4 linked regions of the Diceros bicornis minor genome follow. The protein of the gene in region 3 purifies or fractionates together with the protein of the main gene of each other region. This does not show direct contact. Links are inferred from orthologs where the notes say so. Each region holds a gene or a part of one and is shown on either strand. Other genes may lie near its edges.

Evidence for each region.
Region 1: the proteins of FHL2 (region 3) and TNKS1BP1 purify together in Homo sapiens (affinity purification with mass spectrometry; 3 studies listed by BioGRID and IntAct, with this or other methods). This does not show direct contact. The link is inferred for Diceros bicornis minor from reciprocal best matches to the Homo sapiens genes FHL2 and TNKS1BP1.
Region 2: the proteins of FHL2 (region 3) and CNOT1 purify together in Homo sapiens (affinity purification with mass spectrometry; 3 studies listed by BioGRID and IntAct, with this or other methods). This does not show direct contact. The link is inferred for Diceros bicornis minor from reciprocal best matches to the Homo sapiens genes FHL2 and CNOT1.
Region 4: the proteins of FHL2 (region 3) and EYA3 purify together in Homo sapiens (affinity purification with mass spectrometry; 3 studies listed by BioGRID and IntAct, with this or other methods). This does not show direct contact. The link is inferred for Diceros bicornis minor from reciprocal best matches to the Homo sapiens genes FHL2 and EYA3.

The regions. Positions count from the first base shown.
Region 1 is NC_080770.1:16,630,805-16,638,262, forward strand, and holds the start of TNKS1BP1 (182 kDa tankyrase-1-binding protein), read left to right. Parts: upstream 1-4,446; 5' UTR 4,447-4,526; intron 4,527-7,123; exon of another isoform or gene 7,124-7,188; intron 7,189-7,457; exon of another isoform or gene 7,458-7,458. Other genes in the region: FACT complex subunit SSRP1, read left to right, coding at 956-1,085, 1,526-1,696, 1,844-1,932, 2,455-2,641, 2,892-2,963.
Region 2 is NC_080771.1:11,898,244-11,905,963, reverse strand, and holds the start of CNOT1 (CCR4-NOT transcription complex subunit 1), read left to right. Parts: upstream 1-4,715; 5' UTR 4,716-4,821; intron 4,822-7,720.
Region 3 is NC_080779.1:8,314,256-8,321,578, forward strand, and holds the start of FHL2 (four and a half LIM domains protein 2), read left to right. Parts: upstream 1-4,306; 5' UTR 4,307-4,347; coding exon 4,348-4,461; intron 4,462-7,323. UniProt on the Homo sapiens protein: May function as a molecular transmitter linking various signaling pathways to transcriptional regulation. Negatively regulates the transcriptional repressor E4F1 and may function in cell growth.
Region 4 is NC_080752.1:43,545,627-43,553,578, forward strand, and holds the start of EYA3 (eyes absent homolog 3), read right to left. Parts: upstream 3,017-7,952; 5' UTR 2,915-3,016; intron 1,648-2,914; exon of another isoform or gene 704-1,647; intron 1-703. UniProt on the Homo sapiens protein: Tyrosine phosphatase that specifically dephosphorylates 'Tyr-142' of histone H2AX (H2AXY142ph). 'Tyr-142' phosphorylation of histone H2AX plays a central role in DNA repair and acts as a mark that distinguishes between apoptotic and repair responses to genotoxic stress.

The sequences.
Region 1 (7,458 bases), on a different chromosome or scaffold from region 3:
TTATATTTAGATTGGTTTGCTCCAGGCAGTGCTAAATGACCCTCAGAACCTCTGGGCAGGCTTCATCCTACTGGTTTAACACCCAGAAGTGCCCTTCTCTCAGAGTAGCAGTAAACGCGTGGTTACTGCCCCTTCCTGAGTCTGAGGTATTAGCATGTGCTTTGACGGGCCAGAACCAGGCCATGTACCCACCCTTGGAGCCTGTGGTTGGGGTGAGCCCCTCCTGAATGGGGGCCAGGTGGTTCCCAACAGAAAATTGGAACTCTTAATTCAGAAGAATTGGGAATGAATGTTGGGCAAAAAAAAAAAAAAAAAAATCTCTAGGCATCCATTAGTTCTGCTTGCCACATACTTATGAAGGTCAGTAAGCAAATGCTTGTGAAAATGCCTTGAGAACTGTTTGGTACCATATACATATAAGGTAGTTCCATCTCTGAGAAGTTGCACTTGTATCAGGTAGGACTTAGTTATGTGGGTATGTGCTGGGTTGGACTTAAGTTGGTTTTCCCCACTTTTTATAGTAATGAATTCTCTCTTCGTCAGAAAAGACTACACAGTAGGTTAAGATGATTAACTCAAAGGAGGTGGAGAAGTGGACTTGGGGCAGGTTCCTGGCAAGATGAGACAGCGTTTCTGTCCCCAGGAGCACGGGGATGGAGTTGGAGCTGGGTTAGGCCATGACCAAAGAGAGCAGCTGAAGTCCGTTGGTTCATTTGTTTTTCTTTGATTAATTCAACAAATAACCCATTGTCATGGCTGGGTCTGGAGAGGGATGGCTGAAGCCACCTCAGCGAAGGGGAGGAAGCAGGGTTGGGGACTGAGGGTGGAGGCTGTCCTGTGGTCCTCCTCCCTCTCCCCTCTCTGGGCAGGTATCTTTGGTCTTGTTTTCCTCCTGGCCTGGGGCTGTGGGGTGCTGTCCTCCCTCCCTGAGTCTCTGCCCCACTCTCCTTGGCAGGTTTGACAGCAATGCCTCTGCCAGCTCCTCCAGTAATGAGGGTGACAGTGACCGGGATGAGAAGAAACGGAAGCAGCTTAAAAAGGCCAAGATGGCCAAAGATCGCAAGAGCCGCAAGAAGCCCATGGAGGTGCAGACTCGCCTCTAAATGGGAGGGTGTTGGGGAAGCCATTCTCTTCACCTCTTCCTGCCCATCACCAGCCAGACCTGTTGATTGGTCCTCCTGGGGCTGCTTTTTGTAGCCAGTGATTATGGCCTTGAGGAGTATCTTCCTGGAAATTTTTCTCTCTGTTCCTTGAGATAATTAGCTTCTGGGAAATCTGAATTAGGAGACAGGCTTCTTCTATCCCAGGAGCCCGAGGAAAGGGCCCCTAGTGAGTTAGGCACTGGGGTGCGGAGAGGAGGAAGACATGGTCCCTGCTTTTAGGGAGCTCTTGGTCTAGCCCGGTGCTATTTAGTCTTTTCTCCATTTTTTTCCTCCAAGTAGGTGATCCAGATAATTTCTTTGGGAGAATGTGGGGTTCTGTGGGAAATAGACGGCTGAAGGCATGTGGGTTCATTTTTATGTAGGTGAAGAAGGGCAAGGATCCCAATGCCCCCAAAAGGCCCATGTCTGCCTACATGCTGTGGCTCAATGCCAGCCGAGAGAAGATCAAGTCAGACCATCCTGGCATCAGTATCACGGATCTTTCCAAGAAGGCAGGCGAGATCTGGAAGGGAATGTCCAAAGAGAAGAAAGAGGTGAGTAGTAGCAGAGACGAGGGGTGGTGAACCTTGTTAACTGATCGAAGGGGCAGGGGGCCCCACTGGTGGAAGTTTTCTTGATAGATTTTGCCTGCATCAGGGAAGAGGTCTCATTCTTCTGTTTTTTCTGTGTGTGTGAGACAGGAGTGGGATCGCAAGGCTGAGGATGCCAGGAGGGAATATGAAAAAGCCATGAAAGAATATGAAGGGGGCCGGGGTGAGTCTTCTAAGAGGTGAGTGTCAAGAACAAAATGGCCCAGTAACTGCCTTTTTTGGTGGATATTTTTCCAGGTTGAGAATTGGGGTGTTAAAGATAATAGATATGCTCCTGACTGCAGCAGGGCAGTGCTTCTCCAATCTCAGTAGGCATGTTCAAGCATGGGCGACGTGCTAATGCCTGACATCACTGGATAAATATGGCCCATTTTTCTAGAGGGTCAATTTTATTTGAAAGTATAGGGGTATTAAAAAATATGATTATGGAGTATAATTCACATGCATTTTTAAAGATAAAGCAAGAGATGTCAAGTAAGTTCTGCATATGATGCTGCTTCAGGCTATGGCCCTTGATTCTTCTGGTTATTCGGATGCTCTCCTTTGGGCCACTTGGGGCTGACATGGCTGATATTTATGTTTAGGGTGAGATGGGCAGTATGGCTGGGATGGAGAAAGGCCCTGTTAAAGCTAGGAGAGGTTTGGCCTTGTTGGTGGCGGCAACTGGAGGGCCCAGTGCCTTTTCCCTCTTGCTAATATAGGGACAAGTCAAAGAAGAAGAAGAAAGTCAAGGTAAAGATGGAAAAGAAATCAACGCCCTCTAGGGGCTCATCGTCCAAGTCGTCGCCAAGGCAGCTAAGTGAGAGCTTCAAGAGCAAAGAGTTTGTGTCCAGTGATGAGAGCTCTTCAGGAGAGAACAAGGGCAAAAAGAAGAGAAGGCGGAGCGAGGTGCGGCAGGAGTTTGAGGGCTGTGGGCCTGGAAGGGTGAGGGGCATCTCAGTCGAGGGTGGGTGGGTGAGGACAGAGGTTTCTGGGCTGGGGTTATGGTTGGTCTATAAGAGTAATGAGATGGAGTGGACAGGTGGAGTTCTGAGGTTCTGAAGGCTAGTGCTGGAGCTTAGGGAGGGGGGTAGGGAATTGGGGGGCCCTTCACCACTGAGGAGGTGGTCTTTCCCCTTAAGAGACCTTTGGTTTTCAGGACTCTGAAGAAGAGGAACTAGCCAGTACTCCCCCCAGCTCGGAAGACTCGGCGTCAGGATCTGATGAGTAGAGAGGAGGAAAGTTCTCTCTCCTTGGGCTTGCCCTGTCACACCCCCCAGGCTCCCCACCCATATTTTGGTACCAGTTTCTCTTCATATCACATGTTGTCCTTGGATTCTGTGCCATCTGAACAAGCTCTCCTGGTGGTCTGCACTTGCCTGGGGCAGCAGGGGAGGCGTTTTACTCTGCTGCTTCATGAGGCTGGCTCTTCATAATTTGGGGAGAGATTGGGTGGGAAGCAGGGCAGTGCAGGATCCAAGTCCTCCTCCTACTCTCCCGACCTTGGGGATATAGCTGCTTGTCCTGTTCAAGTTGCTGCAGCAGGGGTCGTGTGGGGTCAAGCCTGTAGCTCCTAACTGGGGCAGATTTCTACTTTTATTTTGTATTTCTGGTCTGTGAAAATGAACATTTAATAAAGGGAACTGACTTTGGAAACCATGTCCTTATGCTTTCTCTCTGGCCCTCTTGTAATGCTCCCACTTTTCTTGGTGTTGTTGACCACACTGTTCTGACTGGGCAGGGCCCTGCTGGTCAGCCGGGAAGCAAGTCTCCAGGTACATCCTGTTCTGTTCCCGGCTGGACAAGCATTGGTTTTCACCCTCTTCTGCCGGGATGGGCCACCTGAGAGTCTAGAAATGAGAGCTGATCTGATTAGGAAGTCTCTCTCACAGTTCCACTCCATTAGCCCAGCTAAGGAGAGGCAGCTCTTGGCTCCATCGCTAATCACCTATGAGTCAAGGGTCTTCCCAGGCTTCACATAATGGAATCAGGATCGACGAGCCTCCCTGCAGCCAGGGGAATGGAAACCTGAGCCTGCAGAGTCGGGGAGGATGAGCGGTGTGTGGGGCGGAGTGCAGTCTAAAAGGCAAGGTATGGCCAATGTGTGAAGCTTTTGAGCTTATGGGAGGAAAGGGGCATACCCAATTTTGAGGCTGGGAGGAACTTCTATCTGGGAAGGGGGCATAACAAGAGACAAGGAGGATGAGCGAGGAAAATAGACCTTCCGGCCTTCCCGACGGTGGCTCTAAGGCTGAATTTATACACGTGGAGTGGCCACGTTGCGTAGGTTCTCAGGTGTTTGCCACAGGAAGCCTCTGCAGTCGGCCAACGGTTCCCTTCTTTCCGGCCGTGACTCTATGGTGCTGCGATCCGTACAGGCCGCTCAGCCTGAGGATTGGGCCGTCCTAAGGCGGTCTCCTCTCTAGGCAGGCGTCTCGGTGGCCATTTTGCCCGAGCGCTCTCAGCGGCTGAATTGCGTCAGTTTCGACGGGGTCTGGGCCCGGGGCGGGCCCCTTATTTGCAAGCCTCATGAATAATTGAGCACCTGGGCTGCGCCTATTTGCATACGATCTACCGAGTTCTGCTCGGGCTTTCCACGCCCGGTTGTCGCCGGCTCATGGGTATTCATAAAGCGCGCTGGGGGCGTGGGCCGGGGCGGAGCCAGGGGCGGGGCCCCGCCCGGGCTCGCACTGGCTTGGTCCCGCGGTGACGGCGGCGGCAGCGGTAGCCGCGGCGGAGACTGGCGTCGGGGCGCCGAGCCCGAGCCGAGCGGAGCCGGATTCTGGGGGAGCGCGTGAGTGTGCGGGGGCGGGCAGGAGGGCGAGGGAGGGGGCGGGGTCCGGGACTGGACTGGGGACGGGGGAGAGGCATGGAAGGAGTGGGCGCTTTCCAGCCAGGACCTCGAGTTGAGGTGGAGGGGGGGGTTCACCAGGAAAGTTTGCAGGGGTCGGGGGCGAAGCAAGGGTACCGCGGAGCTGGCGCGTGTGCGCGGGGGCGGAGGATGCACGGTCTGAAGCTCGTGCTGGCCGAGCCAGAAGAAAGGGGGGAGGGGGCGAGGGCTTGAGGCGGGGCCCGGGGCGGGCGGAGCTGCTAGAGGGACCCCCGCTTCCCTTTCCCCAGGGCGCACGCTGGCCCCCTCCTCCGGCTCCCTCGGCACGCCCCCAGCCACCCAGTCCGCCCCCACCCGGCCCGCGTCCCTAGTGCCTGGTCTGTTCGCCGGCTGCTTCACATCCCGCGCACAGGTCCTCCGCTACTGCTGCCGCCGCCCCCTCCTCCTTCCCTTCCTCCTCCACCACCACCACCACCTTCTCCTCCTCTTCGGCTGCCGCCGTCCCCTCTTGTGTCCAGAGCTCCCCACTGGGCCCCTCCAGACGGCCCCTCGCCCCGGGCTGTTCTGTCTTCCCGCTGGCCCTCCCTCCTCCAGCAGTGTACGTGCTGTCGCTGCCGACCTCTCTGGCCCCGGATCCGGCCGGAGATCCCAGGGTCCGGAGGGGCGACCCGGCCTGCGCCGATGCCTCGTTGCATCCCTGCGCCCTAGTTGGAGCTGCCGAGCCTCTCCCCAGCCCTTCTGGCGGCCTTTGCTCCCGGGGTTCGGCTAGTCTCCCCCTGACTCCTGGAGGTGGGGAGTGCTTAGAGCCGCTGTGATTCTACAGCTTTTGGCTACGGTCTTGGTCACCAGGGTTTCCGGGCTGGGGACTCTGAGCTGCTGTGGCCCCCTCCTCAATTGGGGAAGCCGAGCCCCCACTTCATTGCTGCAGCCCCTCCTACCCCAGAGGTGCCCATCAGGCCCCCAGGTGAAAAGGTTTTTTGGTTTTGGGCCAATTCCTCCACATTTGTAACCACCCACACCGTGTCCCTTGTAATAATGTTCAAGGACAAGGAAACAGTCTTGTGTTTTTTTAATTTTCTTTTTTCTGTCATGTGCCCCTCCCCCCACGCACACTTAGACTGGCTCTGCACGGTTCTTCACCCACCCACGAGGAGCAGTCCTCCATGGTAGCTGGCTAACTAAAGGGATTGATGGTCCTGGGTTTCTCCCTACCCTCTTTATATTCTCTGCTGTCTTTGAAACAAGCTGCTTCAGGGTCAAAGGTGAGGGCTGAGGGGCTTTTGCTAAGGTTGGGCACTGAGGTCCCTTGTTAGGACTTGGTGCTGTCTTCCCAGCCCAGCTGGAGGGGATGACTCTGAGGAAGGCAGTGCCCCTTGCAGGTTGGAGACGGTTGGGTTGTCCTCACCGACTTTGTGCCTACTGGGTGATAGGAAACATCCTCCTTCCTTTGGAACAACAGGGGCAGGCCTCTGTCCCCCAGGCTGGAGAGCCTGGGTGGTTCTTGTGGGTGGGATGGTGCTTCAGGAGCCAGGATGGGAACTGAGGAGGTTGTTGAGTGTCTGAAGAACAGGTGACATGACTTGGGTCTGCGGGAGTGAAGGAACAGTTTGGGGAGAGGAGAAGATGGTGACCAAGGATGTTTGCTCATTGGTGACGCTGAATGGAATCATGCTAATAATGGCCAACATTTATTGGACAGTTATGCACTAGGCATTGTGCTAAGCAATTTGCATGCATCATTTCATGTGATCCAACAGTCTCAGGAACTCTTATTTTTCACATAGGGAAACTGAGGCTTAGAGAAGTAAGCGACGTGCCTGAAGTCACACGCCTAGAAAGTGGTAGACCCACTCAGCATTTGCATCCTGGTATATCGGACCCCAGAACTCCTGTCATGAGCTTAGAGGAGAGGCACCCATTTGGCTTTCACTATAAGGCAGTGTCACTTGGTTTACAATTTCTTCTGTCCCCCTCAAAACCCCTCAGGCCAGCCCTAGGCTGGTGAGTGATGCCCACATAGCCCCTTTTCGTAGGCTGTGGCTGTCCCACCCTGACTGTCCTAGAAGGGGGAACCCCAGGGAGTTTTTCCCCCAAGCCACCCCAGCCCCCGGATGTTCTCAAGCCCTGTCCCATTCCCCCAGCCCAGGCCTGGGCCGGCTCCTCCTTCCTCTTGGCGAGGCTCTGGAAATCCAGTGGGAGGCCATTGCTATGGCAACAGGACTAGGCCCTGGCTTTACCTCATCAAATTCCAAGCTGAAGCCAAAGCGATTGAGAAATTAAAGAAAAAAATGTATTCCAGATGTTTACTTTTTATTCCTTATTTTTCCGTGTTTGGATGAGACAGCTCTGAGGGAGGCGGGAGTAGGGCAGGGATGTGGAAGGAGGAGGGAGAAAGAGGGGGGAGAGGGAACCACTCCCAGCTGCAGGAGGGAGGGGAGGGAAGGAGGGTGAGCGGGAAGGGGGAGGCAGGCGGTGGGGCGGAGCCCCAGGTTGGGGAGGAGCGGGTTTTTCCCGTCTCCCATGAGGTGATTCACGGAGAGACTTCAGACTTTGCGGCCTCTTGCTCTGCTCGTGAGTAGAAACCTCAAGAGCAGGGCCACCGGACTCAAGGGGTGCACTGGGAGCAGTAAGTGGGGTGTCTGGGGGAGCTTGCCAGAGGAGGGCGCGGTGGGCAGCTCCCTAAAGCTCCAGGCCTTTGGGGTTAGGTGACAAGTTAGAGAGTAGTCTGGGAAGAGTGGAGGATATGGCTGCTGGGACCTCCCTTGACCTCCCCCAACCCCCCTTCTGAAGTTCCCTCTTCCTGTCCCACACTCTGCTTCAAGTAGGACACTTCTCCCGGCTAAGCCTGCTGCCAACGCCCAACGCTTTTGCCTTCTCTCTCTCTCTCTTTTCCAGG
Region 2 (7,720 bases), on a different chromosome or scaffold from region 3:
CTCTCCAGGTGGGGCACCCATCTGACCTCCAGGTGGGAGCAGACATCTGGTCTTAGTTCCTGATAGTCTTTTGTTTTACTGGATGTGCATCAGAGATCGGAGCAACACCCTATACCCTGATCTTTCAGTTGTCCTTGATGATGGCTATCAGCATAGACTCTCTTCCCCGGGGGTCATCACATTCCTAAGGAACTCAAGAGAACAAAGTTATCAACTTATAGCAGCTGGGAGGGGCCATAAAATCTACAGAGCATGTCTGGGCTAGTTAATCAGAGGTCCTTCAAAGTTACGACAGGGTTTCTTTTGTACACTATGGCTTCCCTTATGTCAACCTTGTGTTGAGCCAGTATCACAATATCCTCAGAATAGTGAAGGGAGAAAAGGAGGTCCAGAGTGGGGAAGTGACTTTCCCAAGGCTACATAGAAAGTTAGGGGCACAGACTGGTATAGGACTTGGGTTTCTGAATTTCTCAGTGGGCTTTTGCAGTGTGCCTCCCTGGACATCCTTCCCCCAGCTCAGAGCTACCAAAGTCACACCAAGACCTGGATGCCCAGGGAGTCAGGAGGTTTGACACTAGGCAGTGATGATGGGCTGGAAGGAGATCTGAATTTAGTTGGGCTGTCAATGAGGTGCCTTGAATAGGATAAAGAATTGTAAGGTAGTCAAAACCACTGCAAATTGAAGTTACTGACTCATCTGATAAATGGGACTGAAAAACAGGAACAATAAGGCCTTGTATTTCAGCTCACCCTTCTTCAAAGCACCTCCAAACATTTTGTAACATAGTTTGCACAGATCTCCAAGTCTCCAAGTCCTTTGTCTTCTAGGTATTTTTGCCTCCACCCAACCCAATTCAATCCAATTTTGTTTCCTACCACTTGCATTTCCCCCTCCAGGTTATTTTGGGAAACAATGGAAAAAGTTTGTAAAGTTCTCCCAGAGGCTGGGATGCACAATTAATTGGGGGGGGCGGGGTAAGGACTGGAAGAAGAAGGCTGAGGAATGAGGCCAGGTGAGTAATTAACAGCTGGCTGAACTATCCTGTTTCTAAACACGTTTGAACCCTAGGACACATAATTGCTGAGTTATAAGGTGATTCAGGGAATCCTTTGTGAAGGTCTCTTGTAAAATGGTTTGTCTGGGCATGATTTCCTACTATGTCTTTGAGTAAAAGAAAAAAGGCGCACCAGGTGATCTCTGCTACTCCTTCCAGTTTGTAAACACTGTACGAGTCTCTGCTTTCTAGTAAAGATACAAGCCACCTAGAATTCCTGACAACACACCGTTGGAGGACTTTGATCTCCAGGCTATTGTGTGAATCCTGCAAGTACTTGGCTAAGTCCCCATGGAAGGTCAATCCTAGGAGTGGTGTTGGTGCAGCTCCCATGGAGGGGCTGGTAGTGGGCTCAAGGGTCTCCCAGAGCATCCTCCGTATAAGTAGGAATTCATTTTCCTAGCAAAGACAGGCCGAAGTGGGGAAAGGCAACTCAGCTTTATATTAACTTATCTTATTTAAGGAGATCTATGGGGCCGGCCTGGTGGCGCATGGGGTTAACTGCGCGTGTTCCGCTGCGGCGGCCCGGGGTTCGCCCGTTGGGATCCCAGGGTGCATGGATGCACTGCTTGGCAAGCCATGCTGTGGCGGCATCCCATATAAAGTAGAGGAAGATGGGCATGGATGTTAGCCCACGGCCAGTCTTCCTCAGCAAAAAAAAGAGGAGGATTGGCAGATGTTAGCTCAGGGCCCATCTTCCTCACAAAAAAAAAAAAAAAAGGAGATCTATGTTTGAGGTCTGAACTACGTAGAATTACAGAGCCGACCTTGGATAGTTGAACTCTATGGGTATCACTTTCTGTCTCTTTTAAAAAAATTATTTTAAATTATACAAATAAAACTTAAATACATCCTCCTTGTAAAAAGTTCAAGTAGTACAGTACTATATAGAATTAAAAGTAAAAGTTCCCTTTAGCCTTCCTCATCCCATTCCCCTCCCAGGGGTAACCATTGGTGTCAGTTGGCGGGAGGCGTATCTTCCCAAACCTTTTCACCCATTTCGTCATATGTAAATATAGATACAGTTATTTTCTCCTACACAAATGGTAACATACTGATTATGCTATATATATATTTTTTCTATTCTGCACCTAATTTTTTTATTTAACGATAAATCTTGGAATCTTTCCACATCAGTACATATAGATTTACCTCAATCTTTTTAAAAACTTTATAGTATTCCATTGTATGACAGTACCATACGTTTATTTAACCCCTTCCCTATTATTTCCAATCTTTTGGGGCCCCATAACAACGTGTCAGTGAATTTATACATTCATCTCTGTGCATATTTTCAATGTTGACCTGTGGAATAAATTCCTAGACATGGAATTACTAGGTCAGTGGGTCTGTGCATTTTCAGTTTTCATAAACTCACACAAAATGCTGCTATCCATAGGGGTTTTACCAATTTTATACAGCAACAATGTATAGAAGGGCCTTATTCCTCATCCTTGGTCTGTTTAAGGGGCTTTTAACCACTGACATTATAATGTTGTAAGTCCATTTCTCTGTTTCCTGATTTTTCTGCATTTATTTGCTCACATGTCTACCATGTGCCAGGCACTGTGCTAAGTGGTGGGAATACACTATGAATAAGACTGAAGCAATCCTTGCTCTTCCTGTACGTGGGGTCCCTGGGTCTTGTACAGTTGCTTGAAAACACAAGACATTCAGTAAATGTTTGCTGAAAGAATTGGCCTCCAATCAAGGAAAGGCAGGTGTCAAAAACTATTTTTGGTTGGGCCGGCCGGTGGCTTAGCAGTTAAGTGCACGCGCTCCGCTGCTGGCGGCCCAGGTTCGGAGCAGGGGCACGCACCAACGCACTGCTTCTCTGGTCATGCTGAGGCCGCGTCCCACGTACAGCAACTAGAAGGATGTGCAGCTATGACATACAACTATCTACTGGGGCTTTGGGGGGGAAAATAAATAAATAAATAAATAATTAAAAAAAAACCCTATTTTTGGGACATGATGCTAAGTGAAATAAGCCAGTCAATAAAAGACAAATATTGCATGATTCCATCTGTAACACGTATCTAAAGTAGTCAGACTCTTAGAAAGTAGAATGACGGTTGTCAGGTTTTGGAGGGAGGAAATGAGGAGTTAATGGGTATAGAGTTTAAGTTTTGCAAGACGAAAAAGTTCTAGAAATCTGTTGCACAACAATATACATATAGTTAACAGTACTGTACAGTACACTTAAAAATGGTTAAGATGGTAAAATTTGGGGCTGGCCCAGTGGTGCAAGCAGTTAAGTGTGCGCGCTCCACTGTGGTGGCGGCCCAGGGTTTGCCAGTTTGGATCCCCGGCGCGTACCCATGCACCCCTTGTCAAGCCATGCTGTGGTGGCGTCCCATATAAAGCGAAGGAAGATGGGCATGGATGTTAGCCCAGGGCCAATCTTCCTCAGCAAAAAGAGGACTGGCATGGATGTTAGCTCAGGGCCGATCTTCCTCACACACACAAAAAAAGATGGTAAAATTTTATATTATGTGTTTTTTCTACAATAAAAAAAGTATTTTGGGCACAAAAGGTAGTATGAGACAGATGGTTAGGAGACAAGCTACTGAGACTAGCCTCAGGATGATGAGAAAGGCATATTTTTTCATAAGGTAAAAGAGCCAACCGCGTAACACTGCTTTCTCTGTTCTCCTACCCTCATCTGGGAACAGGTGACCATAAAATTTTACGATCTACTGTAGATAATAAACCACAGCAAAATATATGTTTCTATGCTTTTTCTCTTGAGAGCGAAGGGCATAGATATCCCTTCTGATACTGCACACGGGGAATAAGCCAAAAAGGGAACCTTAGCTTCCTATCTCTCCGTAAAGCGTCTTTCCTTCAAAAGGCAGAACAAGGAGAGAAAGTTCTCTCGCTAAAAGTGAGACAAGCTAGAATCAAGTGGGACCCTGGGAGACTACATTCCCCAGCATGCACTGCTCTTCCTAGGGCGCAGTCAGCGACGGAGAAGACGCATTACTTTTGCGACAGGAATGGGAACTACATATCCCGGGATGCAAAGCGCCACCACTCTAGTTACAGCCTGGCTTGCTTTCTGGTAGCTGCCGGTCCCCGCCAAAGGGATAAGAGGGGAGGGGAATGTTTAAGATTTGGAAGTTCCGCAGTCTACCGGACTTGACACTTCGAAAGAGGAAGAAGAGTAGGGAAAGGCTGTTTCACTTCAAGTCCAAGTAGTTCCCACTCAGGGTGGCGAGGGTTTATGGGCCCCCTCCCTTATTGTTTCTCAGAGGCAATGCCAAGCCCCCACTGGCCGAAGACTTCGAGGGCAGGTGGGAAGTCCATGAAGCCCCAAATCGAAGTTCTCTGCGTCTCCTCATTGGCCCTCGTTTCAAGCGCAGGCGCGAGGGCTCCGACTCCAGTCCCTAGGGACGGTGAGCGGCAATTGGCCAAAGCCCGCGAACTAGAGTCCGGATTGGTAGTTGCTAGCAGGAGCCTGGTTTCTTCCTTGACTTCTGCAAGTGATAGTGTGTGATTGGTTTAAATCCGCGGGCACCTGTCGGTGATTGGGCGGGCGCCACGGGCGCGGCACGGTCATTGGCTGGCGCCGGGACCATCCCTCCTCGGGCGGGCAGCGAATGATGAAATGGGAACGGGGAGGGGAAAGGCCGCGACGTGAGCGCGCGACCTCCGGCGCCATTTTGTAGAGAAACAAGCGGAGTTAACCGAAGAGGGGGTCGAGGAGAGCCGGAGTCGGGGACCCAGGAGTTTCCTGTGTCCAGCGCCGCCGGAGCCGCCTGAGGTGAGGTGTTGTGCGGCCTGCTGGCGGAGTTAGCCACGGAACGCGGGCGCCGGTGGGGAAGGAAGCGGGTGGTCCCGGGGCCATGGGGAGCGTTTCCCGGAGCCTCGCGGAGTAAGGGGCAGTCGGGACAGGGAAGTGGCGAGGCGGGAGAGGGCGGGCTCTCTGCCGTGGGCTCGCGGGGAGTTCGGGCTCTGAGGAGAAGAGGCCGGCGCCGCGGCTCCACGAAGCGGAGGGCAGAGCGCGGGGCGAGCCCCGGGGTGGTCCCGGCCCGGGCCTGGGGGCTCCGCGGGCGGCGGGGGCGGCAGTGCGGGCGGCCGGGCCTTGTTTGGCGCGGGCTGCACCCTCCTCGGACCCCACGAGCTCCTCAACTGCCCCTTTCTCTCCGGGCTGCCCGGTCGGTGCAGGGGGCATGGGCTCCCGAGGCCTAGCCCCCGGGGCCAGGGGCCGTGTGGGGAGTAGTTGCAGGCTCCCAGGTCTCGCCCGCCGACCTGGAGCCGCCAGTCCCCCTCCCCCGCCCCCAGCACGTTGTCAAACCCGGGTGTTTCAGGTGTCCGCCGGTGGGAGGGGCGGCGGGCGCCAGCACTTCCTGATTGCTGCTTGCCACAGGTTTTGTTCCACTCGCGCGCCGGGCGCTCGCACTTTCTCCAGACTCGGCCCCCACCCCCTGGGCCGGTGTCTGTGCTCCGCTGGCGGCTCTGCTCCTGGGAAGTGTCCCCCTCGTGCGCTGAGCACTTGCAGGCCCCGCTGCTGCTGAGAGATTTACTCCAGGGCTCCTAGGGGTTCCTCCCAGACACCAAGATTCTTGTGCACTGCCTCCCTTGCTGCAGAATTCCCCCATCCCGGCTCACACCAGTAGTTACCCCCACTAGGAGTAAGCTTTGTGGGCTAAAAAGAGAAGGTGCTTGATATCTGCGGGCTTGAAAGTGGTGTTTAAAATAAACTTTGAGAAGTAAACTTTTCCCACGAAGTCACTCAAACATCGCATTTCTTAGGACTCTATTAAAAAGTCTGTTTTCTTCCTGAAAGCTGTAGACTTCACCTCCCTCAGTATTTCTCTATAATTCGATTGCCAGGGGGGATTTGGTTTAAGTCATGATTGAGTGAATATAATTATTTTTTGTGGAAAAAAATGCTGAGCATTTCTCTTACGACAATCTGTTTGTTAAGGAATAGGGATACATGGATGAAAAAATGGGAGGACAAGTAAAAAATTAGGAAGTAGGTCAAACAGGTTAAGAACAAACTTGTTTTTTGTAGAGGTATTCGAGTTTAATGTGTTAGTGTTCTGTGGCCGAGGTTGACGTGGCTACTAGTATTTTAGCTATTAATAAGATATATGGTAACAGTTTAAATCGTGTTTTATTTAGGACATTAAATTGTTACCTTGTCTAAGGAGCAAATGAGCTGATGATACATGAAGTTTTAGGTATCTAGTTGTTTGACTGAAATGGTGGCATGTTGATAAAACTTGTTTGGAAAGTTGGTCCCTTTTCAACAAGTGTGAGTCCCGAGTCTTTCAGTGGAAACTTAAGTCTAGAATCAAGGCACAAAGACTTGAATATTAGTAACTGAAAGTATTTCCCCTTTTTGCCTAAGATTGTAGTCTTAGTAGTTTTATGGCAGGGTTTTGTGGCACTGTGGTGAAATGCTCTTGATTTCTAACTCACTCAGTGGATCCCTGGCTTAGTTTCTTTCTTGCTAGTCTCTAAATTTCTGCTGGGGGTTTAAATCCTGGTCTCTTTAACATGGATCTTGACAGACTAAGTACTGTGACATCTTCCTAATTTTGGATTAAGTCATTGAAAAAAAAAAAAAACTGAAGACAGAAGAGGAAATGCTTACTATCTCTTCAAAACATGCTTAAAGACTAATCTCAGGTTATCGTTGCAGGTTGCTTTTTCCAAGTATGTTTTTGGTTAGATTCTGATCTGGTTATGAAAAGCTTTCTCTTCAACCAGCTTAAATTTATGAACTTCAATCTTTTATTTCATTCTATGAGGTAACAGGTCTTTGGCACTCAATGCTCTGGAAGGGAATTTGTCCACAATAGTTTTTTTTTTTTTAATTTTATTTATTTATTTATTTTTCCCCAAAGCCCCAGTAGATAGTTGTATGTCACAGCTGCACATCCTTCTAGTTGCTGTATGTGGGACGTGGCCTCAGCATGGCTGGAGAAGCGGTGCGTTGGTGAGCGCCTGGGATCCGAACCCGGGCCGCCAGCAGCGGAGCGCGAGCACTTAACTGCTAAGCCACGAGGCTGGCCCCTCAATAATTCTAATTGAATGCTCAGATATTTTAAGACACGAATTTTTTGTAAGATGTTTATGCTTCTTGGATTAACAGAAATAGTAGCCTGCCATTTTGAAATGCTTTAGTTTATGGACTTGGTATATTCTTTTATAAAAGTACAAGACTAACTTTCAAGTCAGTTAAAAATATTAGTTGAAGCACCTAAACCGCCCTCTGACCAAACTGAACTTCCTGCTGGGAAGTTTCAAAATGGCATCCCACTGAGTCTTAGTTTAAGGCCTTATATACATAGAAAAATCCTGCAGTTCCTTTTCTGTTTGCTTACGATTTTTAAGAATGTTTCAAAGGTAAGATGGACTCAAAACCTTTTGTACCCTATATATACACAATAGCTTATTTTAGTGTCCTTTTTCACTCACACATTTGTAAGAATGTAGCAAAGTAATAAAGCAAATTGTTCAGTGAACAGCATTGTTTGAGAAGTCAGTAATTAGAGGTGTAGACTTAGTCTGAAACCCTGTGTTGAGATTTGAAGGAAATGCTGCCTGTGGGAGTGTGGCGTGTAGATGTAAGAAATGCATTTGTCTTTAATGCTGGAAAGCTCAGCGTAAACCTCCAGGATAAAATGTCTTGGTTAATTTTGTTACAG
Region 3 (7,323 bases):
ATCTTCATCGAAATGGTCAGTTAGGTACTGATGTTGACCCCCAGCTCATGTTTTACGGGTTCCCTTTCTTCGTGGTGATGATGAGGTCTCCTGGGGCCCATGGGGTGGCCACGGTCAGGAGGAGGCCCCGTGCCCATGCCCACAGCCTCCCATGCCCACCCGTATCCCCCACCACGGGGTCTGCAGTCAGGCCACACTCCTAGCTCTGCCTTCCCTCAGGGCCTCTGGCAGGAGAGTGAAGTTCCAGTGTTTGCATCCCTGAGACACACGGGAACACTTCACCTTGTGAGGCTTCTATCTTGTGCTTTCCTCAGGAGAAGTAGCCGACAGAGTAAGGACTACCTGCGATTGGATCTGAGCATTTCAGCGCCTGGTCTCTGTTTAGTCTGCCTCCGTTCCCACTCCCCCACCCCCACAGAAACTAGCATCTCTAGGTTTCTGTAAGCTACTGAGGCCAGAGTTGGAATCCCTCTGGGGTATCCTACCTCAGCACTATCAGTCATCAGAATTACCTGGAAGTCCTGTTAAAACACAGAGCCGGCCTGAGAATGTTTTCCTCTGACACATTTCCGGTGGTCCTGGTGCTGCTGGTTGGACCACACTTCAGAGAGCCATTGACCTACACCATACGGTCTTCCCTCTCTTTCCTTTGTTCCTAGCTGCTCCTCTCCCTGAACACCCCACCCCCACCCCAAAGAAGAAGGAGGTCGGCGCAGTGTTGGGTGGTGAAGGAATTACAGGAGAATTGAAATAAACAAGAGAAGAACTTGAATAACCTTTCAGAGTTGCCACTTGATCCCTTTCCCAGGAAATATCATTTCTTAATTTTTTTCCTTCCATGAACTAGCCTTTTATCTATAGCAGAGAATTTTCTTTGAAAAAGACAATCTTTGGGGGCCAGTCCAGTGGCCTGGTGGTTAAGTTCAGCGCACTCCACTCCAGTGGCCCTGGTTCGTGGGCGCGGATCCCGGCTGTGGACCTACACCTTTCGTCAAGCCATGCTGTGGCGTCGACCCACATACAAAAAATAGAAGAAGACTGGCACAGATGTTAACACAGGGCCGATCTTCCTCACACACACAAAAAAAATTTTATTGAGATATAACATTATGTCATATCCCAGGTGTACAACATGAGTCCATATTTGTGTATACTGCAAAATGATCACCACAATATGTCTAGTTAACATCCATCACCACAAACAGCTACAATGTTTTTCTTATAATGAGAACTTTTAAGATCTACTCTCTTAGCAACTTTTGAATATATAATACAGTATTATTAACTATAGTCACCATGCTGTACATTACAAGCCCAGGACTTACTTATTTTGTAACTGGAAGTTTGTACCTCTTGACTACCTTCACATTTCCTTCTTATTCTGGATTCATGTTTCCTTTACCATCAAATAAAATACCATGGAATAAAACTAATATTTACTGAGGGCCTACTATGTGCCAAGGACTGTACTAACAGTAGTAAATGGTGTATATGCATCATCTCAAAGGATCTTCCCAATGATTTTGAAAGTATGTGTTATTAGCCCATTTTGCCTATAAGCACACTGAGGGTTAGGGAGGTTTTGTGGTTGCCTGAGGCCACAGAGCTAGTCATAGGTAGGACAGGGATTCTAATCTAGGCCTGAATCCAACAGTCAAGCTATACTGCCATCGATAGCATTATAATTTCTATAATAGTCTATCTGCTATACTGTAAAATAATCAATTACAAAATGAAAGACTTGTCACATATTATGTGACTTTTTTTTTTTATTTTTAAAGATTTTTATTTATTTATTTTTTACCCCCGAAGCCCCAGTAGATAGTGTCATAGCTGCACATCCATCTAGTTGCTGTACGTGGGATGCGGCCTCAGCGTGGCCAGAGAAGCGGTGCGTCGGTGCGCGCCCGGGATCCGAACCCGGGCCGCCAGCAGCAGAGCGCGGGCACTTAACCGCTAAGCCACGGGGCCGGCCCCAAGACTTGTCACATATTAAACAACTCTTCTGTAGTCCATCCATTCATTCAGCATCTATATTTATTAAGTGCGTCCTATGTGCCACGCACTAGAGTTAGGTCCTGGGAATACAGTGGTAAACAAGATAGAACTTGTCAAAATACATTCTATGAGAATGTCTTGTGAAAATTTATTTTTTAATAGTTTGTCCTTTGATTAAAATTGTTCAGAAAAGGACACATGTCAGTAAGCCAGAACTGCATTCCTCCTTCCTGTTTCTCTAGCCAACCTCCTGTGACTTTCTATAAACTCAGTTTAACAAATTTGTTTCCTATTTTTCTTAACGAAGGAGCATGTGTTGCTTTAATTTTTAAAACATTTTTATTTTTTGAGTGGGTAATACATTTATATAGCTCAAAATTAAAAAGAAACCAAAGGGTATATAGTAAAATTTAATCTCCCTTCCACTCCGGACCTCCAGCCACCCAGATGGCCCCAGAGGCACCACTATTACGTGTATATGTTGTCGTCCCCTCCTTCCTCCTTTTCTGTATTGACAATGGTTGGTTACTGTCTACAGAGAGCTCTCTACTTTTCTTTGGTTGATATATCTTGGAGATCATGCCAAATCAATAAATGGAGCTACTCTGTTCTTTTTAACAGCTGCACATAGAAATAATTCTAGAATGTACTGTAAGATATTTAATTAGGCCCAATTGATGAATACATAACCTGGCCCAATATGTTGCTATTACAAACAATTCTACAATGACTCCTCTTGGATGCATATCAATTTACCCATGAGTGAGTCTATTTGTGAGATAATTTCCTGTAAGGGGAAATGCTGGGTTAACGGCAAATGGTACATGCATTTGTAGTTGAAAACATTTTTCATTATGGAATTTTTCAAGCATTACAAAAGGAGAAAGACTAGTATAATGAATTCGCACATACTTGTCACCCAGCTTCAAGGGTTACCATTAATCCATGGCTGATACTATTGCGTATATATTGGTCCCATCCATTCCCTCCACCTCAAGTTATTTTGAAACAACCCTAGACATAATAGGTAAATATTTTGGCACTATTTCTGAAAAGTAAGGGCTTTAAAAATGTGTGTGTGTAATTTCATTATTACACCTAAAATAAAGTAATAATTTATTGTCATCAGATATCCTATTAGTGTCACATTTTCCCAGATTGTCTCATAAAAATTTATTTTTTTAATATTTTGTTCTTGGATTCAGAATCTAAATAAGGTCCATCCATTCACTGCGGTTGGTTGTTTTTTTTTAATCTATCGGTTTCTTCCTCTTCTCTCTCCTTCTTTCTTTCTTGTTTTTTTTTGTTTTTGTTTTTGCCGCATTATTGTAGAAACTGGATAAATTTGCTTCCAGAGTCTGGATTTTGCTGATTACATCCCCATAGGGTCATTTAATATGTTCCCCTATCCTTTAGGCCAAAGGGGAAATGCAAAATTAAATTGTAGAATTTCTTAAAATAATAATATGGAAAACAACATCAGAATCTGTGTGACACAGCGAAAGCAGTTAGAAGAAAATTTATAGAACTAAAGAACTATATCAAATGTTTGCTCTCGAGTTGGTGCAGACACAGGTGTAGGAGCAAATGTTTCTTCCCGACGCCCCCTTTCCCATGCGTGGGACTCAGCCCGTGCCCCTTGTCCTGCCATCTGTCCCCATCAAGTGTGGGCTTCAGGCACAGGGCCCGGGCTTTGAGTGTGGGAGGCACTTGCTCCACCTCACTTTTCTTTTCCCGCCCTGGAGTGGAGAACAGAAGGTATCAACAGCCCTCTCCCCCTGGAGTGTTGGGGACTGGACCTTCCCCCGTCCCCTCTCTATCGGAACAAAGAACCTGGCGTCATCCGTCTGCTGGGCTCACTTCGTGGCAGAGGGGTCTGCAGGGTAAGGCGGAGAAAAGCCCACCGTGCACATACATCCCGGGCGCGGGCTTCCTGCCGTCGGAGACCTGAGCCGTGGCCGCGGCGCGTCCCTCGCGCTCCCCCCGCGCCCTCTCAGGCTCGGCCGGCCTCGCGGTCCCGGAGCCGGCCGGGGAGTCCGGCCGTGGGCCCTCTGCCCCTGCGGCCCTCGCCCCAAACTCGGAGCCCGGGAGCCGACGCGGGGGCGCAGCCCGGCGTCACCACCACTAAGGCCCCGAGGGCCCCGCGGCGACGGACAAGCCCAAGGCGAACAAAGAGCCGGGCCGTGCGCCCGCGCCCCGGGGCGGCCGAGGGGCGCCGCGCCCCGCGCCCCGCTCCCCGCTCCCCGCGCCCCGCGCCCGCGCCCGCGCCCCGCTCCCCGCGCCCCGCGCCCCGCGCCCCGCGCCCGCGCCGCCGGCGCCCGGGAGGCGGGCGGCTCCTTATATGGTCAAATGACACGGCGGGGCGCTCCGCGCGGAGCCGCTGCGCTCCACTCGGCCGGCCGCGGAGCCGCAGCCCGGAGCCGCCGCCCGGCCAGCCCGCGAGAGCCGGCCCGCCGCCGCGCGGTGAGTGCCCGCCGCCCCGGCCACCCGAGGGACACGGGGCTCCACCGGCAAGGCTGGGGACAGGGGAGCCGGGCCGCGGGGACGCCTGGGGACAGGGAGCCGGGCCGCGGGGACGCCTGGGGAGAAGGGAGCTGAGCACTGAGGAGGAGCCGGGGAGAGGGGGGACGAGAGCCTAGCCCAGGGGGAGACCCCGGGAGAGGGGAGCCGAGCCTTGGGGACACCCGGGGAGGGGCAGCTGAGCAGTGAGGGGGACCAGGGGAGAGAGGAGACGAGCAGTGGGGGAGACCCGGGGAGGAGGAAGCTGAACCGTGGTGGGGAGGCCCCGGGGGTACTGGAGGCCGGAGGGACCCCCGCCCCATCCCCGGAGGGAGGACCGCGGTCCTCGTCCTGGCGAGCTGGGTCACCGCCGGGTGTGGAGGAGAGATTGTGTCACCCACGGGCTAGCGCCGGGCAAAGGGTGGCCGCGGGTCGGAGCGCAGGGAAGTGACCGCCCCCTGTCCCCCGGGGTCGGGGGTTGGCACGCAGGCCGGCTGCCTTCAGTCTGCGCAGGGGGTCGGGGGCATTTCCCTCCACTAGAAAGAAGTGGAGCTTGCGGGTGTGGCCTCACGCATTGACTCCTGCGGAAATTAAAAAACTGAACCACTAGGTTAAAAAATGGGCTTATTTTAAATGAAAAAAATTCTAATCTTAGATTGCAGTCGTATGATATCTTAGCATACCTGAAATTGTGGGAAGAGAGTGTTAAATGTTGTTTCCAATTTTAAATGAAGAATCAATTATATTTACTTTCAAATCGCCGTTTGGGTTTCCATTCCAACTAGGCCAACTCAGGTTAAATGAAATGGATACAGCTGCCTTCCGTGGCCTGCACTTATTTGGGGAGGTAATAAGTCACAGTTCTCACAGTTCTGGCTTATAATTAGGAGAACTATGTTCAAAACGAGACACTAAATACTTCTGACACCTTTGTGTTAACCCTGCTTGTGTGTGTTTTGTAATAATGTGTTAGAGACAGTTGGCTTTGGTATCCTGAAGGTGATTTAAACCAGAAAACACTTGAGGCCAGTCTTAGGTGTATGGGAAACCCTAGTCTGACAATTAAACTTCCATAAACCCAAACTCAATGAAGAACGCTTCATTGTGTATTTATATAAGATTATTTCACAGTGTTTTTCAGATATAGCTCACCCTGAATTTTTAAGGATTATCAGTGAATATATAGAATTGGGTTTCCACAGTGTTTATTATCCTCCATGCTTCAAAATGCTTTTACACAGCAGTGTATCAATAAGGAGCAGGTTGGCTTACTGCCCACCCGGCACTGTTCTAGGCACACACGTTGGCAGTCTCATTTACAAATAAGGCGGGTGTGATAGGCTAGTGGGTGTGCAGGGACTGGAGCTAGGCTGCCTGAGTTCACATCCCTGAGTTCACTGTCCCTCAACCGTGAGCTGTGCAACCCTGGCTAAGTCACCTAACCTCTTGGTGCCTCAGTTTCCACAACTGGAAAACAAGGATGTGATGGTAGCTTGCTTGCAGGGTTGTTATGAAGCCTGCACACCATAAGCAGTGTATACATATTTGACACTATCCTCATTTTTATGGATCAACTGAAGCATGGAGAGATCAAAGGAACTTTTGCTTAAGGTTTCCCAGACTATAAATGATGGTCCTGAGATCTGACCCCAGACAGCTTGAGAGCCTGAGTCCTAACCACTAAACTATTGGGGGCACACCTGAATATTTCAAGGAGGCCTTATAGTGCATGTTTTAACCCAAAATGTTTGTTAAACCACTTCCAGTACTGAAAGAAATCAAAATTGCAGGAAAAAACGCCCAGTGGGATACTGAAAAAAATTAGACTGGGCGTCAGGAGGCCTGGGTTCTGTTCCTGTCCTGCACTGAGGGTCAGTCACCCAGCATCTGGAGCTTGGGCTGCCTCATGTGTCAGCAGAGGGGCTGGAGTAGGTAGTTAAGCTTATCTCTGACTCAGATGCCATGACTCAAAGTTCCTCGAGCTTGGGTGAACAAAAACATTAGATATTGGATACTTCCTGTGTAGTTTTATTAGGAGAATTTTATTAAAGCCACATATATCACGTGGCATTATACTGAGAGGCCACTTCCTCAAGATGACCACCATGGACAAAATGCATGGGCCTTCTCTAGTGACTGAGACCCCCGTCTTCCAGGAGACCAGGCTGGCCTTGTGTCTCTGGGGTGAGTTAAGTGAATTGCTACTGTCATCCTGAATGGTGGATTTGAACGATAGTTTCTGTGATGGTTAATTTTATGTCAGCTTGACTGAGCCATGGGGTGCCCAGACATTTGGTCACACTTTATTTCTGGGTGTGTCTGTTTCTGGAGGAGATTAACATTTGAATCAGTGGACTGAGTAAGGCAGATTGCTTTTCCTAATGTGGGTGGGCCTCATCCAATCAGCTGAAGACCTGAATAGAACAAAAAGTCTGAGCAAGTGGGACTTCCTCCTGCCTGACTTGGATTCAAACTAAAAAAAAAAGACTAAATAAGAGAGAAGTCCGTTTGCCTGACTGCTTGAGCTGGGATGTTGGTTCTTTCCAGCCTTCAGACTCAGACTGAAACATCAGCTCTTGGGTATTGAGCCTGCCAGCTTTTGAACTGGAACTTGCACCATTGGCTCTCCTGATTCTCAGGCCTTCAGACTCCGACTGGAACTACACGTTAGCTCTCTTGAGTCTCCAGCTTGCCAGTTGCAGATTGTGGGGCTTCTCAGCCTCCATAATATTGTGAACCCGTTACTTGTAATAAATTTCCTTATACACACACACACACGCACGCGCGCACAGTCATGCACCTCATAACAACGTTTCGGTCAACAAC
Region 4 (7,952 bases), on a different chromosome or scaffold from region 3:
GGCCATGCTGAGGCCGCGTCCCACATACAGCAACTAGAAAGATGTGTAGCTGTGACATACAACTATCTACTGGGGCTTGGGGGGGAAAAAAAAATAATCAAAACAAGTCAACACAAAAAACACGTTAGGCATAAAACTAAGGGGCAGAAATGTATTTTAAATTGAGCCCTCAGAATTACAAACTAAGACTTCACCAAACTAAAGTAGAAATTTCTACAGAAAATTTACAACGATTCCTCTCCTGAGCTTTAAAAACACATACACTAAGTCTGTCTGTCTCTAGTGATATTTGTTTGTTTGGCAGCTGGTAAGAGGTGCAGACTTTTCAGTAATTAGAAAGTCTATCAGCGTTCTGTACAAAGACCAGGAGCATGAACACAACTGATCCAATGAGACCATGGGGTGTTCATTTCATATAAAGGTTTTTATACAGAATCTATATCATAATAGGCCAAAGTAATTTTAGAAGAAAAGAGAGAGAAAGAGATACTTTAAGACTTTGCAACTTCTACTTCACCACCACACAGTTTCTTTCTAGAGTTCCCTCTTTGAAGGAAAAATGACTTCAGATTTGAATTTAAAAATTTGCGTCACAGGTTTCTTATCCTAAAATGTTCATTCCTATGATATAAATTTATTGAAATGAACCACTAAATACTATTTGTGCTCTCCAGCACACAGCTTTGATGGAACTAAAACCCACCTGAGTGCATGTACAGGACTTCTTCACTTGTAAAAAGTGACCTTGGAAAAATCATCACCAATTCTTTAAGTCCTGATTTCATTATTTGTAAAATGAAGGGGTAAGTATGAACTCGATGGTTCTCTCCAGCTGTAAACTGTAGAAATCTACATAGGTTTAGACTTAGACATGCTCAAGAAATAACAAGTTCAGAAATGAAAAAAGTTGAAAGAGGGCCTTGCATCAATCCAAATATAGGTCTATCTATGAAGTTCCCACGGCTAAAAAAAAAAAAAGTCCACAAACTTGGAGGTAAGGAAACAGAGAGAGTCAGCCCATACTCATTGCGGTTAGCTTTTAAGGATAAGAAATGATGAGGCCAGGCTGAACAGAAGCTCGAATGTCCAGTGTAGGTGCTGGGGAGGAGGTATGGTAAGAAGCTTTCAAAAGGGCTTCCCTCAGCAGTCAGATAAGTCCTGAAAGCCAACCAGAAGGGTCCTTCTCTGTGGCTTCTAGGACTAATATGGCCAAGCTCCGAAGTCCTTTGCTAAAAATAGCTGAAGGGAGCAGCTCAGTTTTGGAATAAGCCAAGGTCTATGCTATGCTCACATATGTATATTTATCATATAATGAGGGAGACTTTTCTATAACTCATTAGTCAAAAGAGAAGCAGATGCTAAAAGCTGTATTTATTCTGTTCAATGAAGTACTAAATTTTAGAGCACAATTTATATGAGTACAGGAACTGATCACACAAAAACATTTGCAGTCAAATGCTAGACATACACCATAAACATTGGAAAAACAAAGATAAAAATTATCCAACCCTGTGTCTCAAAATATACCTCAGATCACAAAATTTGGGAAAGGGGACACTAACCATTATTAAATCCAATCCCTTCATTTTAGAGATGACTAAAAGCCTCCAGAGAAACTTAAGAAATTCAAGAGAAACTTAAGTCTCAAAACGAGAAAAAGGTGGTCTGAAGACTAGGGTGGAAACAGTAAAAAAATAAATAAATAAAAAAATATTCTAAATAATAAAGTACTGTAATGTCTGGCTTAGGAGGAAACAGGAATAAAAACAGAAAAACTTGTCAATACAGTAAAAATGAAGACAACGTACAAGAGGCAAGAATAAAGATCCATGTGCACGCTAAGTTCAACTAAAGAAAATGTACTTTGAAATCACTATAGTGAACTCTTTAGCAGAAAACGTTTCAGTTACAACGTACTAAAATTTTCGGCAATAAACTTATAAATCTGGGGCTAATCTCCCAAGGAACTCTGTCCTCTGCCATAGCAACTGTCCTATAAGTAAAGCCCATGCAGAAAACAGAGCTGATCGTCCCAGAACATCGCATTTTTGCCCCAGCTGTGTACCTCCATTCTCATCGGAGAGAGAACGCCAAAATGACAGCACGTCCTCATGACCTGTCAATTAACAAGATCACACAAGCCCAACCGCCAGCAGTTCCGTGTGCCTGCCACCTGTTAGCCCGCTCTAGAGAGAGCCCCCCAAACCGTGCTCCAGCAAAGAACCGGGAACTGGGAACCCCTTTGTTGTTCCCGAACTACGGAAGCTACCAGAGTTCAGTCCAACTCAGCGCCTCCAGGCAAAACTTCCCCCAGACCGGGTAAATCGACCCATATCCGGGACTAGGTAAAGCCCTCTTCTAGCTAAGAAAAGGCGGGAGAACCCCAGCAAAGCATGGAAGACACCTACTAGTCGCGGGAGAAGGTAGGGGTCTAAGGTGAGGAAAGTTGCGGGTCGAGGACGTAGGACTCTACAGAGAGACAGGTTCAGTTTCGCAGTGGAGGAGGGTGAGCCCAGAGAGGAGGAGCGCCGTCCCGCCCGGTGGAAGAACAGCGAGATCCCGGGATCGGGGGTCGGGGATGAGAGGTACTAAGGAGAGAGGAGGCGGAAACGGAGAGGCAGTGGCTGAGGGAAGCGCTGAGGAGAAAGGCAAGAAATCTAGGCGTGTAAGGGGCGGATGAGGCTGCGGAAAAACAGCGAGGCGAGAGGTACGCGGAGACGAGAAAGGCTAAGCTCAGGTGAAAGAGGCGAGGCCAGCGTGAGGGAAAGGGCTGAAGTGAGGGAAGCACTGTAGAGACAAGGGACAGGCAATGAGAACCCTCACCCACAGGGACCAGGAGAGAACTCTTGACCGGCCCCTCTACAGGCTGCTCTCGACCGGCCGCACTCAGACCCTGACGGCGGCGGAGACTCACCCAAAGACGCCAGAGGCCCCACAGCAGGACATAGGGACCGGTCCAGACCCACAGCAAAACCAAGCGGGTGGAGGAAACCGCGGCGCTAGCGTGACCCGGATGCACATCCCTAGGAACCGGAAGTCAGCGGCCAGGGTCACCTCACAGTCCACACCTCGTTCCGCCAGAAGCTTCTGAGCGCATGCGTCAAGCGGAGCGGGCGGGGCGGGGCGGAGCGGGGCAGCGCCTAGACCCCGCCCACTCTGTCGGCCCGGGAGCCCCGCCCCTGGTTACGCCCCACTCGGCGCCACCGTGGTGCTTGTGCGGGTGGGCTGGTTTTCCCTGCGTCCGGACCGTGGTGCCACAGAGGCACAGGCGGCTCCGGTAAAAAATACTTAAGCGCTCATTTTTCAAGAAGGTCTTTTAAAATGCGTGTAATCCCTTCCTAAAGCGAACGTGAGGGGAAATGCTGGCTGCATTTGGTAGATTTAGAAAAATTGTGGGAGGAAGAATGGGTGGGAAATTTTAGAAGACACTTGGGAGAGGCTAGCCCAAGGTGATGTTTTTATCCCCAATATTAGTTTAGTCCTAATACTGTATTGAGCTTACAATTAACTTCTATTTCGTGCACATTGTTTTATGTAATAATTTTATCAGAAACAAAAATTTTTAATACTTCGTTAACTTTAAATTACTACCCAACTATGGGAAAGGAGCAGGACTGAAGTCAGGTTTTGTGGGGGCCTGAAGTTTATTCAATTTGGGGGTCCTCTTTAAGAAAATTCAAAATTACAAATAAAATATTAATTATAAAAATGAATCTTTAAATGAGAAAAGAAATCATAAATTACAAATTTTTAAAATTTCAACAACACAAAATCCAGAAAAGTTACACACTCAACTGCTTAATACACCTCTAAAATACTTTTTTCCTACATTTTTTGGCTATATATTGTTTGATCGCCTCTTCCTGTGATAACATTTGCTAAGATCTTTATTAAGATCTTTGACTCCTCTCTCTCACACCCCACGTCTAATTCAACGGCAAGTTCTGCAGGATCTGCCTTCAAAAATTTATCCAGAATCTGACCATTTGCTGCTTCTGTTGTTACAAGCCACAGTCATTGTGATTGTTTGCCCTTTTTATACACTTGCCCTCCCACAATCTATTAATACAACAGCAGCAGACTCCTGTTAAAACCTTAATCAGATCGTGTCGTTTGTCCAGTGGATTCCTATTTCAAAGTGAAAATGAAAATCCTGGGGCCGCCTCTGTGGCATAGCAGTTAAGTGCGGGCACTCCGCTGCTGGTGGTCCCGGTTTGGACCCTGGGGGCACACCAATGGACTGCTTGTCAGGCCATGCTTTGACGGCGTCCCATATAAAGTGGAGGAAGATGGGCACAGATGTTAGCCAAGGGCCAGTCTTCCTCAGCAAAAAAAAAGAGGAGGATTGGCATGGATGTTAGCTCAGGACTGATCTTCCCCACAAAAAAGAAAAGAAAAGAAAAGAAAATGCTTACTTTGGCCTACAGGACCCTCAAGATGTGACACTCAGCAGTACAGCTAATCTCATCTTCTGCCCTCTCCATTATCCCTCCGCTCAAAGCACATTGGCCCCTTTTTTGTTCCTCAAGCCTGCACATAGACTCAAGCCCTTTGTGCTTGCTGATCCCTCAGCGTGGAATGCTTTTCCCTCAGATAACTGCATCATTCACCCTGTCACGTCCTTACATCTTTGTTCAAATGTCACCCTCTCAATGAGCCCTTCCCTGACACTATATTTTAAATTGAAATACTACCATCCTCTCTGCATTCCTAGCCCAATTCCCTCCTTAATTTTTCTCTAATAACATTTATCCCATCCAATAATTTGCTGGTGAATTTGGTTTAATGTCTCTCCTCACCACCCCGCCCAACGCCCCCCCCCCCCCCCCCCCCCGCCTCCCCCAGAATTTAAGCTCCATGAAGGCACAGATGTTTATTTGTTTTGTTCATGGATGCATTTCAGCACCACAAGAGAGCCTGGCGCATTGTAGGCGCCCCATAAATGTTGAACGAAAGGATAAATTGCTCATTTACTTTGGGATAAATTGCTCATTTTCTTTGTTTTTGCGCAACTGAAACTATGCGAGCTTAGCCACCAACTCCACCAGGGGGAGCCCATGAGTAACCAATGTGGTATCTCAGAAAAGTTACTCCTGCAGCATAAACATACACATAAATTAAAACAGACCTACAGGAAAGCACGCAAAGTCCTCCTCGGAGCAAAGGGTGCTGTACCTACTAGCAATAAAAACCCTCCGATGTCTTCACAGTCCCTTAAGAATAAAGTCCAAGCTCCTTACTATGCTCCTTACTACAAGGCTCTTTTTGGCCTGTTCGTCCTAACTCTCAGACGTAGTACCCACGCTCCCTTCCCCTCACATACTGAGCTTCTGTCATCCTGTCATTTCTGCTTCTTGTACAAACCAAGCTTTCTTGCCTCAGGGCCTAAGCACATACCATTCCCTCTCTTTCAACACTCTTCTCCCAAACTTCCAATGAATGGTTCCTTCTGCTGCTCAGTTCAATTTCACCTCTGAAGGTTTCATACAGGCCTCCTATGACCTCCTGTCTCCTGTCTAAAGTAGCACCTCCTTCCAATATCTTATCTTTTCTTCATGGTCCCTATCACCATCTGAAATTACACTGTTGTTTGTCACTAGAAAGTAAGCTCTACAGGAGTCTTTATTTCTGTTCACTGCTGGATCTCAGCACCAGAAGAGTGATTGGCATATAGTAGGTGCTCAATAAACACAACCAGTAATTACTAATATTTGTTGAAGCTTCACTATGTGTCACTAACTGTATAGTCATTATGTATAGTAAATACATGAGAGTGCACATTTCTCTTTTAATCCTCCCAGCAACCTTGGGAATTATTATGTTATCTCCATTTTCAGATAAGGAAACTGAGGCAAGGATAGGTTAAGCAACTTTCTCAAGGCCACACAACTAGAAAGAAGCAAACCCAGGACTTGAATACAGGTCTATCTGACTTCAGAGCCCCTGATTTTAGCTACTGGGCCGTGTTCCTCTTAAACTACAGGAAGAGTAATAGGTAGCCAAGTACGATCATTTAGTTACTAGTTTCTTTTCTCTGATTTCATGCATTTTTGCTTGCTGTCACAGTCAGCAGGAGTGGAAATGTTTCTTAGGGTTCTTTTCCTGCCCTACTGCACTACTCCTGGGGACATATCTAAAGAAATATGGCAAGAATATGATTTGTTCAAGCTGGCTTGTAAGTACTTAGACATTTGTTATATTATTTTGTATTCTTTCCTGTAGATTTGAAATATTTCATTCTAAATTTAACACAAAAGAAGAGCTATTAAAATAGTCCAAAATGTTATAACCAAATCTTTCTAAACAAAAGCCAAAATGTAAATCAAAACATAAGCCTAATTACATAAAAGTGTCTAAAAATAAGGCCTCTGAATTATATATTTCCATTAAAAAAGGATTAGTGAGTGTATTGTCAATGTTTTATAACAGGTATCAATTTAAACTCTCCTGATTGATGTATCTGAACTACAATGGTCTGGATTTTGTTTCTGTTGATATTCTCTATTGTACTTAAAGCAATATCTTATTATATTCATGACAGTTGAGGTTCTACAAACAATCTATAGTTGGTGAGATTATAAAATGATGCAACTACTATGGAAAACAGTATGGCAGTTCCTCAAAAAATTAAAAATAGAACTTCCATATGTTCCACCAAACCCACTTCTGAGAATATATCCAAAAGAAGTGAAAGCAAGGTCTCAAAGAGAAATTTGCACACTCATGTTCATAGCAGCACTATTCACAATAGCCAAGAGGTGGAAGCAACCCAAATGTCCATTGACAGATGAATGGAGAAACAAAATGTGGTATATACATACAATGGAATACTATGCAGTCTTTATTTATTTATTTATTTTTTAAAGATTTTATTTATTTATTTTTCCCCTCAAAGCCCCAACGGATAGCTGTATGTCATAGTTGCACAGCCTCTAGTTGCTGTATGTGGGACGTGGCCTCAGCATGGCCGGAGAAGCGGTGGGTCCGGTGCACGCCCGGGATCCGAACCCGGGCCGCCAGCAGCGGAGCGCGCTCACCCAATCACTAAGCCACAGGGCCGGCCCTATGCAGTCTTTAAAAAGAAGGAAATCTTGTCAAATGCTACAACATAGATGAACCTTGAGGACATTATGCTGAGTGAAGTAGTCACAAGGACAAATACTATATCATTCCACATATATGAGGTATCTAAAGTAGTCAAATTCATAAATACAGAAAGTAAAATGGCAGCTACTGGGGCTGAAGGGAGGGGGCAAAGGGGAATAGTTTAAGTTGTATAGAGTTTCAGTTCTGCAAGATAAAAAGATTCTGGAGATCTGTTTCAAAACAATGGAAATATTTTGTACACTACTCAATTGTACACTTAAAAATGGTAAAGATTATAAATTTTATATGTTTTTTACCACAATAGTTAATGAATTAATTAAAAAGCAATCTATAGCAATCTGGTCATTGCTATAATAAGCATGCAGGTCGCTTTTTGCCTACTTGGCCCTGCGTAGAGATGGTTAGAGTCTTTCTCACAGTTTTGTCCAAATTTCTACCAGCAAGAAAACTTTGGAGTAGAATAAATTCTCATTTTCAAGATATGCAGTAACCATTGCTGTCTTCAGAGCAAAACATTTCCCGTCTCCTGAATATATTGTCTTCACTTTACCCGCAGGCACCTTTTCCACATGGTCACTATTATTGTTCATACTTTTTCCCCAACAAATCAGTATCATTTGGTAACATCCAAGATCTCTTGCTTTGTAGAGAATGATTCTTGAACAAAACTCAGGTGTTTTAGGAACACGTCATAGAAATGCATACAGAATTAAAACTACACCAGCAGAAATAAACAAATAGGACATTTTCTGCATCCTTACCATAGTCAGCTTTGTATTTACTAAGACCACACTTGAAGTGTATTCTGGTTGTCTATTGCTACAGAACAAACTATCCCAAAATTC